Linked DNA regions of Mus musculus: region 1 is reported to be linked to region 2. The links are microRNA targets in miRTarBase. Many come from high-throughput screens and were not tested one by one. Region 2 holds a microRNA gene; the other region holds the end of a gene's coding sequence.
The links. Region 2 holds the annotated microRNA mmu-miR-802-5p (UCAGUAACAAAGAUUCAUCCUU, at 2,598-2,619, opposite strand). A microRNA usually pairs through its seed, bases 2 to 8, with sites in the 3' UTR of a target mRNA and lowers its output. Matches are read on the target gene's strand: a 7mer-m8 pairs with bases 2 to 8, a 7mer-A1 pairs with bases 2 to 7 and ends in A, and an 8mer does both.

Region 1 (4,000 bases), not on the chromosome of region 2:
AGCCCACATACACATGGAAGCTGAAAAACACTCTACTCAATGATAACTTTGTCAGGGAAGAAATAAAGAAAGAAATTAAAAACTTTTTAGAGTATAATGAAAATTAAGCAACAACATATCCAAACTTATAGGACACATTGAAAGCAGTCCTCAGAGAAAAACTCATAGCTCTGAGTGCCTCCAAGAAGAAACTGGGGAGAGCATACACTAACAGCTTGACAGCACAGCTAAAAGCTCTAGAACAAAAGGAAGCAAATTCACCCAAGAGGAGTTGATGGCAGGAAATAATCAAACTCAGGGCTGAAATCAACCAAGTGGAAACAAAAAAGAACTATACAAAGAATCAACCAAACCAGGAACTGGTTCTTTGAGAAAATCAACAAAATATATAAACCCTTAGACAGACTAACTAGAGGGCACAGGAACATTATCCTAACTAATAAAATCAGAAATGAAAAGGGAGACATAACATAACCTGAGGAAATCCAAGACATCATCAGATCCTTCTACAAAAGTCTACACTCAGCAAAACTGGAAAACCTGGAAAACCTGGATGGACATTTTCTAGACAGATACCAAGTACCAAAGTTAAATCAGGACCAGATTAAGAATCAAAACAGTCCCATATCCCCTAAAGAAATTCAAATACTCATTAATATTCTCCCAACCAAAAGAAAGCCCAGGACCAGATGGTTTTAGTGCAGAATTCTATCATAACTTTAAAAATGACCTAATACCAATATTTCTCAAATGATTCCACAAAATAGAAACAGAAGGTACTCTATCCAATTCATTCTATGAAGCCAAAATTACTCTGATACCTAAATCACACAAATATCCAACACAGAAAGAGAACTTCAGATCAACTTCCCTTATGAATATCGATGCAAAAATACTCAATAAAATTCTCACACGCCGAATCCAAGAACCCATCAAAATGACCATCCATCAAGGTCAAGTAGGCTTCATCCCAGCAATGTAGGAATAGTTCAATATATGAAAATCCATCAAGATAATTCACTACATAAACAAAACTCAAAGACAAACTACATGATCATCTCATTAGATGCTGTGAAAGCATTTGACAAAATCCAGCACCTCTTCATTATAAAAGTCTTGGAAAGATCAGGAATTCACAGCCCCTACCTAGACAGAATGAAAGCAATATACAGCAAACAAGTAGCCAACATCAAACTAAATGGAGAGAAACTTGAAGTAATCCCACTAAAATCAGGGACTAGACAAGGCTGCCCACTTTCTACCTACCTATTCAATATAGTACTAGAAGTCCTGGCCAGAGCAATTAGAAAACAAAAAGAGATCAAGAGGATATAAATTGGAAAGGAAGAAGTCAAAATATCACTATTTGCAGATGATATAATAGTATATATAAGTGATCCTAAATATTCCATCAGGGAACTCCTAAACCTGATAAACAGCTTCAGTGCAGTAGCTGGATATAAAATTAACTCAAAGAAATAAGTGGCCTTCTTCTACACAAAGATAAGGCTGAGAAAGAATTTAGGAAAACAACATCCTTCACAGTAGTCACAAATAATATAAAATACCTTGGTGTGACTTTAAATAAGGAAGTGAAAAATCTGTATGATAAGAACTTCAAGAATCAGAAGAAAGAAATTGAAGAAGATCTCAGAAGTTGAAAAGATCTCCTATGTTCATTGATTGGCAGGATTAATATAGTCAAAATGGCTATTTGCTGAAAGCAATCTACAGATTCAATGCAATCCCCATCAAAATTCCAACTCAATTTTTCACAGAGTTAGAAAGGGCAATCTGCAAATTCATCTGGAATAACAAAAAACCTAGGATAGCAAAAACTATTCTCAACAATAAGAGAACCTCTGGTGGAATCACCATGCCTGCCCTTAAGCTGTAGTACAACCATGCTACTATCTTGAGTTTAGCCAGTCTAAATCCCAGTAAGGCTCTTTGTTCCTTAAAATTGCTTCATTCTTTATCTGACTCAAAGTAAGATGAGTTCTGTATCAGTCACTTCTCATTGCTGTGATAAAACATCACAAATCTACCTTTAAAACAAAGAGTTTATTTTGGCTTATGATTTCAGAGGGATTGTAGCCTCTCATGTCATGGAGGTATGATAGCAAGCAGCAGGTACAGTGACTAGAGCAGGAAGCTAAGATTTCATATCTTTAAAGAACAATGAAGAGTATGAACTGGAAGAAGGGTGAGGTTTTTAAATCTCAAAGGTCATTCCAGTGATGTATTTCCTCCTCCAAGGATATTCCTGCCCAATCTTCCCTAAGCAGCATTATCAACAGGAAACCAAATGTCTTATTGCCTTATTGTTCTATCTGAGAATGGACACTTCATATTCAAACCACTACAAATTGATTTTGTTTTTTACAAATACTTTGAATTTTATTAAGCCAAATTTTTTTTCAGCAAGAGTCTTGGCTTAAACTCTCTCTCTGTCTCTGTCTCTGTCTCTGTCTCTGTCTCCTCCCCCCCACCCCCTGCCTCCATATATAGTTTGAGGTGGAGGCTTGGTGGCAAATACCCCTTTCGATTGAACTATCTGCCTGCTCTCACTTTAAAAGTTTTACTCTGATTCTGAAAGTTAACAGTCATGTTATTTTATTCATGTTATAGTTTAATTTTAATTGTAAATTTATAACTTTATTATAATTTATTATAAAATTATAGTTATACTTTTAAATATGTTATCATTTTATTCATGTGTTCTGAGGACACATGAAAAAAATGACCACTGAGTCAGAGGCATCCTGAGTATAAGAAAGTAGTCTTTGAGAATATCTTCTACTGCATCCAGCTCTGATTTATTTTCATTTATTTCTTATTTTACTTTATTTTGTCTATTATTGTCAGTAGTCTACTCTACCTTTTGGTTCAATGCAGGGTTGCACACATGCTAGGCAATCATTGTACAGCTGAGGAACAACTACATCTTTACAAAGAACCTTTGAAATAACTGGCTTTCTCAAATAGTTGCTTTGAAGAAAGATTTTCATGAACGACTTTGAGTTGCTAGGGAAAATGGGTCCAACAAGCTTTGCAATGTGATTTTTAATAACCCGACTAAGTTTGTCAGTGCTCTAAACAAAATTATCAAATGTGTGACAGGGCTAAACAAAGGAGAGACTGAAAACAGAAGATGACACATGAGAAAGATGTCTAATCCTAGAAACTCATGTCTAAAATAATAAAAAATTGAAAACTCCTAGATATAGACCTATGCAGACATCTTGAACATAGAAAAGATAACTTTTTCAATGTGTCCCAACCAGAATGCATATTTTCAGTTCTAAATACCTCCAACATTGAAGGATAAATTCAGTAGAATTGAATGCTGTTTCAGGAATAGGAAAACTTTAAACCCATTTGAAGATATGTAGGAAACACAACTCCCCTTGATTGAGTTAAAAGAGAAAATGCCATGTGAAAATGAAGGAAGCTTTAAAGTTCAGTGTGTGCGTCACCGTAGATGTCTAATCTGAGAAAATCTGAAGTAGTACCTTAATGTTCTGAAACTGCTATCAGTAATTGTTTTTTATTATGAGTAAAAAATAATTGTTGAGGTCCTTAAAGATGAGGATTCCTACTATATCTCTCATGATTCAAAGAAAGTGAAGTGTACATTCCATTCATGGCCTTGCACAGGCCAGTTGAAAACTCATTACAGCTTAGTTTTCAGTTCTCCATCGTTCTCGACCTTAGGACTTCTGCACACATCTGTGCACTCGCTTTCCTTCTCTGTGAGCTTCATCTCTGCAAGTTCAGTGTCTGGAGAGTGGATGTCGCCAGGGAAATGGAATTTCCTCATAAGGATTAGAATGAAGACTGCGGGGAGAAAGCTTGATCCTCTCACTGCTGCAGGCAACCCCAGGTAAATGTGCCTATTGAAAAGAACTAATCTGTATTACATTTTAATGTTTTTAGTGAAAGCTAATTTTGTATATTCTTACAGATCCTTTATTCTTTGAAAAAAATCTAGGGATTA
Region 2 (4,572 bases):
TTGTAATACAGCTAGAGCTGACTAAGGCGTGAGACGGAAAGATGTCGCCGCCGTGGTAACGCCTGGGATTTGTGAATCCATGGTTTCCAGATGAGTAACTGCAAAGGTGTTGTGGCTGAGAGGCCGGAATGAGCTTCCTGTTAGAACACAGAGCAAAGGCTGCTGGGTTTGGTGGTCCAGCGGTGATGGTCACTTTCCTGCTGCTATGAGAAAACACCTGACCGACTAAGGCAACTTCGGCCTGGAAGGGTTTCTCCTGCTCAGGGTCTGAGGTGCAGACTGTGACAGTGGGGAAGCCATGGAGCAGGCACACCAGGTCGCTGCTCACAGTGCACCTGGCGTCAGGATGCAGAGGGGACTGAAGTCTGGCTCTCAGCTCACCCTCTCCTTTTCACACAGCCTGCGACCCTGGCTCCCATTGGGGTGGACCTTCCCTGTTCATGCAAAGCATTCAGGAAACACATTATAGACACAGCCAGGGATGTGTTTTGTGGTGATTCTAAATCCTGTCTGGCTGACAGTGCAGTTACCCGTCACCACACAGCGCCCATGTTGACCGATGAGTGCAAAGCCAGACCTTGGCCAAGCTCACAAGCTACTTTAGGGATGTGATTTGGCTTCTGCTGTTGTCCTAATAACTCTGTTTGTTGTATAGAATCTACCACAAAACGGCACCAGCCTCCAGTGTTTGTATTCAGACAGAGAGCAGGAGAACTAGGCCACTGGGAATGGAGACTCTGGGGTGTCCCAGATCCATCTGTCCAGCCTAGCGTTCAGCACAGGTGTATAGTATACGCAACAGAGAGGTAGTGAAAGGTTTTAAACAACCATGGAACACTGGCCGAAGGCATTATTCTCAGTGGATTTAGAGAGAGAGTGCCATGTGGTACAGTTCAAGCATGGCCTTGAAGAGGACGTATTTGGAATGGTGAGGCAGCCCAGGTGACTGCATGCGGTCTCTTCAGCAGCATTTGCTCTGACTGCGATGATGTGAACGACCTAAGATGGGTCTCAGATTTACCTGGTTCCCTGCGGAGAAGAGGCAAAGAACTCGGCCTCAAGTACTCACGTGTGTGTGCATGCATTTGTATGTACGTGTGTGCATGTGTGTGCATGCATGCACGCATGCATGTGTGGGGTGTGTGTGTGTGTGTGTGTGTGTGTGTGTGCTTGCGTCTATTCCCAGTCACAGTAATCTACATTGTCCTCAAGATTAAACATTGGTGTGGTCTGGAGAAATAGGTTAAGTGGAAACTGTGCTTGCCACTCAAGCATGCAGGCTTTAGTGCAGATCCCCTGAACTTGTCCATGCCATGATAACCCCCCCCTATAATTCTAGTTCCCAGAAAGAAAAGACAGAGTCCTTGGAGCAAGCTGGATAGCCCTACTGATTAGCCCTGTGGTCAATGGAGAGACCCTGCCTTGAAGAATAAGGTAAAGAGAGGTCAAAGGAGACTCCCACACCAGCACTGGCCTCCACACACGTGTGCTCCCATGTGTACACACACCTGCACACCTGTGTGCATGCACACACAAATGAACATGTTTATATATACACAGAGACTCGGATAGTATGCACACTCGGATAGTAAGCAACAGTACGCGTCAGAAAGAGCTTGGGGTGGAGGGATGCGGACACTCACTCTCTTAAACACTTAGGACTCTGTCAGCTAAAAATGGTGTGCCGGGATGAGGAGTTAAAGTCATACTTGCAAATAAGTACACAATGAATCCTCTTTAATAAAATGGTATATTTGTCACGAAGCACAGAGCCCAAGTTGGAATAAATTGTAAAGTTGTCCCAGGCTACGGTTGCCTGCCTCAGAAGGAAATCTCAGTGAGGGAGCGCTCAGCCCAGACTGGCCTTGGACATGTCTGTGGGGGATTGTCTTAATTCTTGACTGGCACAACAACTGTATACGGGACACCACTCCTCGGACCTTCAAGCCTGTGTTCAGTGCTGTCTTTTTGAAGTCTGAGCCTATTACCTTTCTCTGACAGGTTCCTGACTGAATAGGTAGCGTGGTTTGCAGTAGGCCCTTGTAGAGGCTACAGTGTCAGTGCATGAGTACTCATATGTGCATGTTAGTGTGTGGACAGGCAAGCGTACGTGTGTGCACACATGCATTTGTGCATGTGGAGGTTAGAGGTCAACCTTGGGTATTATTCCTCAGGCTCTGTCCACTGCCTTTGAGATGGGGTCTTCGCTGGTCTAGAGCTTGCTGATTTAGCAAGGCTGGTCAGTCAGCCCCCAGGGATCTGTCCCCTCTCTCTCCAGTGCTTGGATCACATGTATGTCTTTTAATGTGGGTTCCAGGGACAGAGCTCAGGGCCTCAATGAGCACTTGCTGACTGGGCTCCCTGCCCAGCCTCCCCAAACACACTCAGCTTACCTCACCTCCACCGCCCCTGCCACCTCCCCCTTGCAGCTGGAGTTCCATTGGCTTACTATGTCAGAAGGCAGCGCTTATCCACGAGAAACGCCCTCCGAGGACACCCCAGGCACGTGCGAACAGCGTCCTCTCATCTTCCCTTTCGAGGTGAAGGCTATTAATTACACTGAGTGACAAAGACTCTCCGTGTTGTATGATTGACACAAGGATGAATCTTTGTTACTGATTGCAAATAATAGGACCGCAGTCGGTAGGTTATGTAGAGTCAGGTGGGGAGCCTGTGCTCACAACCAGGCCGTGGGCAGGCAGTATCCTCTTCCGTCTCTGCCTGAGCTAGCGGCTGCGGGAGACAGAGCAGGCATTATCTTGCCACATTCCTTCCCTAGAAAACAGCCTCTGTCCTACTTTGCTTGTTCGCTCCTGGCACGGGGACAACCTGTCTCTTTACATTAGTTTAGATCTGTAAAGAAACAGTCATTTAGAAGGAAAATAGTCGGAAAATTCGGGCAACGATCCATCTTTAAAGTCGTAGCTGAATGATTGCTTTCTTATTGTGTGACTCCAGGGCTGCAAAAATCCCCCGTGTCTGTACACATGTTTCTCTTTTCCTATCTTGGATTTGGGTTTTCCTTTTGCTTAAAACACAGGTATGTGCCAGAATGAGAACTGTTAAAAAGGGAAGGTTTTCAAGGACTCCTAAAAATAGGACCTGCTGCCAACCACACAGCCCCCCAGTATGTAAATGGTCAAAAGTGGAGCAATGGAAAGCATATGTTACCGACATTCCCCTTAGAAAAAACAAGAGTCTGAGCTTGGCCTCCCGGCCCTGGCACCCTTGAACCTGTGGTTTCCATTTAAGCCTTATCCCAAGTCTGCAGCAATCATTCTCGGCATAGCTGACTTCTATCTTTTAATCGAGGCTGTAAAAAGCTACCAGGAATAGTTTTATTCTCCAAATGGGAACGAGTTATTTCATCACATCAGGCTGGGATTTGACACAAACCTTTCAAATAATTATCAAGGCTCAAAGGGGATCAAACACACGCAGCGCCCAGGCCTAGGTGGCTGCCTTGTAGGCCCAGGGCAAAGGAGTGGGCTGGGAAGGTAGTCCAGGGCGGATGAAGTAAGAAGCTATTTTTTGTTTGCCTTCGGTGGCAATGAGGAGTCACCCCGTCTTCTTCCTGGAAATAGAGCTCAGAGTGTACATACATTCATTAAAGTCAAAGTGCTCAACGGTAGTGAGGTTTTGCTAGGAACTCCTTCTGTGGCTATCCTAGGATGGACTGTGTCCTCTAGTCTTACAATTTCGAAAAGGCATCCTATGAAAAACCCACAAGAGAGTTAGCCTCTCCAATGCTTCCTTTTGTTTTCTGAAGAAAAGCTTTTCTGACTAGCAGGACTTATATTACTCATCTTGTTGACAAAGGTCCACAAACCTGCCTAGAGAGTGCATCCTCGGAGTGGAGCGCTCCTGTGGGGCTGAAGTCCTGTCCCTTGTCCCCTGGAGACCTCTCCTCCTTCCAGCAGGCTGTGGAACAGAGCTGGTCCCCCAGAGAGATGTCTAATCTTTCAGCTGTGGAGCTATCTTGCTTTCCCAGTTCTGGTTAAATTTTGTCTTCCGTATCTTGGTATTTCCATGATAGGCCATGGAAAAAGAAACTTGGAGAATGTTTCCCCTTTGCTGTTAAAAGTTGTGACCTTTGCTCACATTTGCCAGAGAAAGTGCTTATAGCACCAATTAACATGAATTATTAACTCCCGGATTAATAATTGATTAGCAAGCTAAAGGCCCGGGGCACCTGCCACATCACACTATCGAGAGAGGAACCTACGAAACAATTTAGATACAATTAGAACAGTTCAGGCAGGGCTTGGCTTAAGTAATGACATTTTGGCTTTTTAAAGGATTGCTTATTTCTCCTCTACTGTCATGTGGCCGGAGAGTCAAAAGTCACAAATAATTCATAGACTGACTCATGTGGATGTTGCCTTTAAAATTTTCCTTTTACAAGTATCTCTGTACCTCTTTCACTGTATTAACCTCTGTCTGAAAGGGCTCATATGGATTCTGCTTCATGATTATCACTGGAACTAGTGTGTGTATGCACATGTGTGTGTCTGGCGTGGTGTGTGTGCACATGTGTATGGTATGTGCATGTTCATATGTGTGTGTGCAGCA

Region 1: miRTarBase lists Slco1a1 as a target of mmu-miR-802-5p. Seed matches in the 3' UTR shown: 7mer-A1 at 3,537-3,543.

Annotation. Positions count from the first base shown.
Region 1 is chr6:141,905,235-141,909,234 of GRCm38, forward strand. Slco1a1 (solute carrier organic anion transporter family, member 1a1) reads right to left here. Exons shown (of 14, transcript NM_013797.5): 14 at 2,047-3,896. The coding sequence ends at 3,677. It overlaps Gm30843 (a long non-coding RNA gene), which reads left to right. Exons shown (of 4, transcript XR_378120.4): 3 at 3,718-3,886. Among named protein-coding and RNA genes, the nearest start is that of Gm30843, 31 kb to the left of the region's middle.
Region 2 is chr16:93,367,784-93,372,355 of GRCm38, reverse strand. Mir802 (microRNA 802) reads right to left here and starts at 2,636; the gene lies at 2,540-2,636.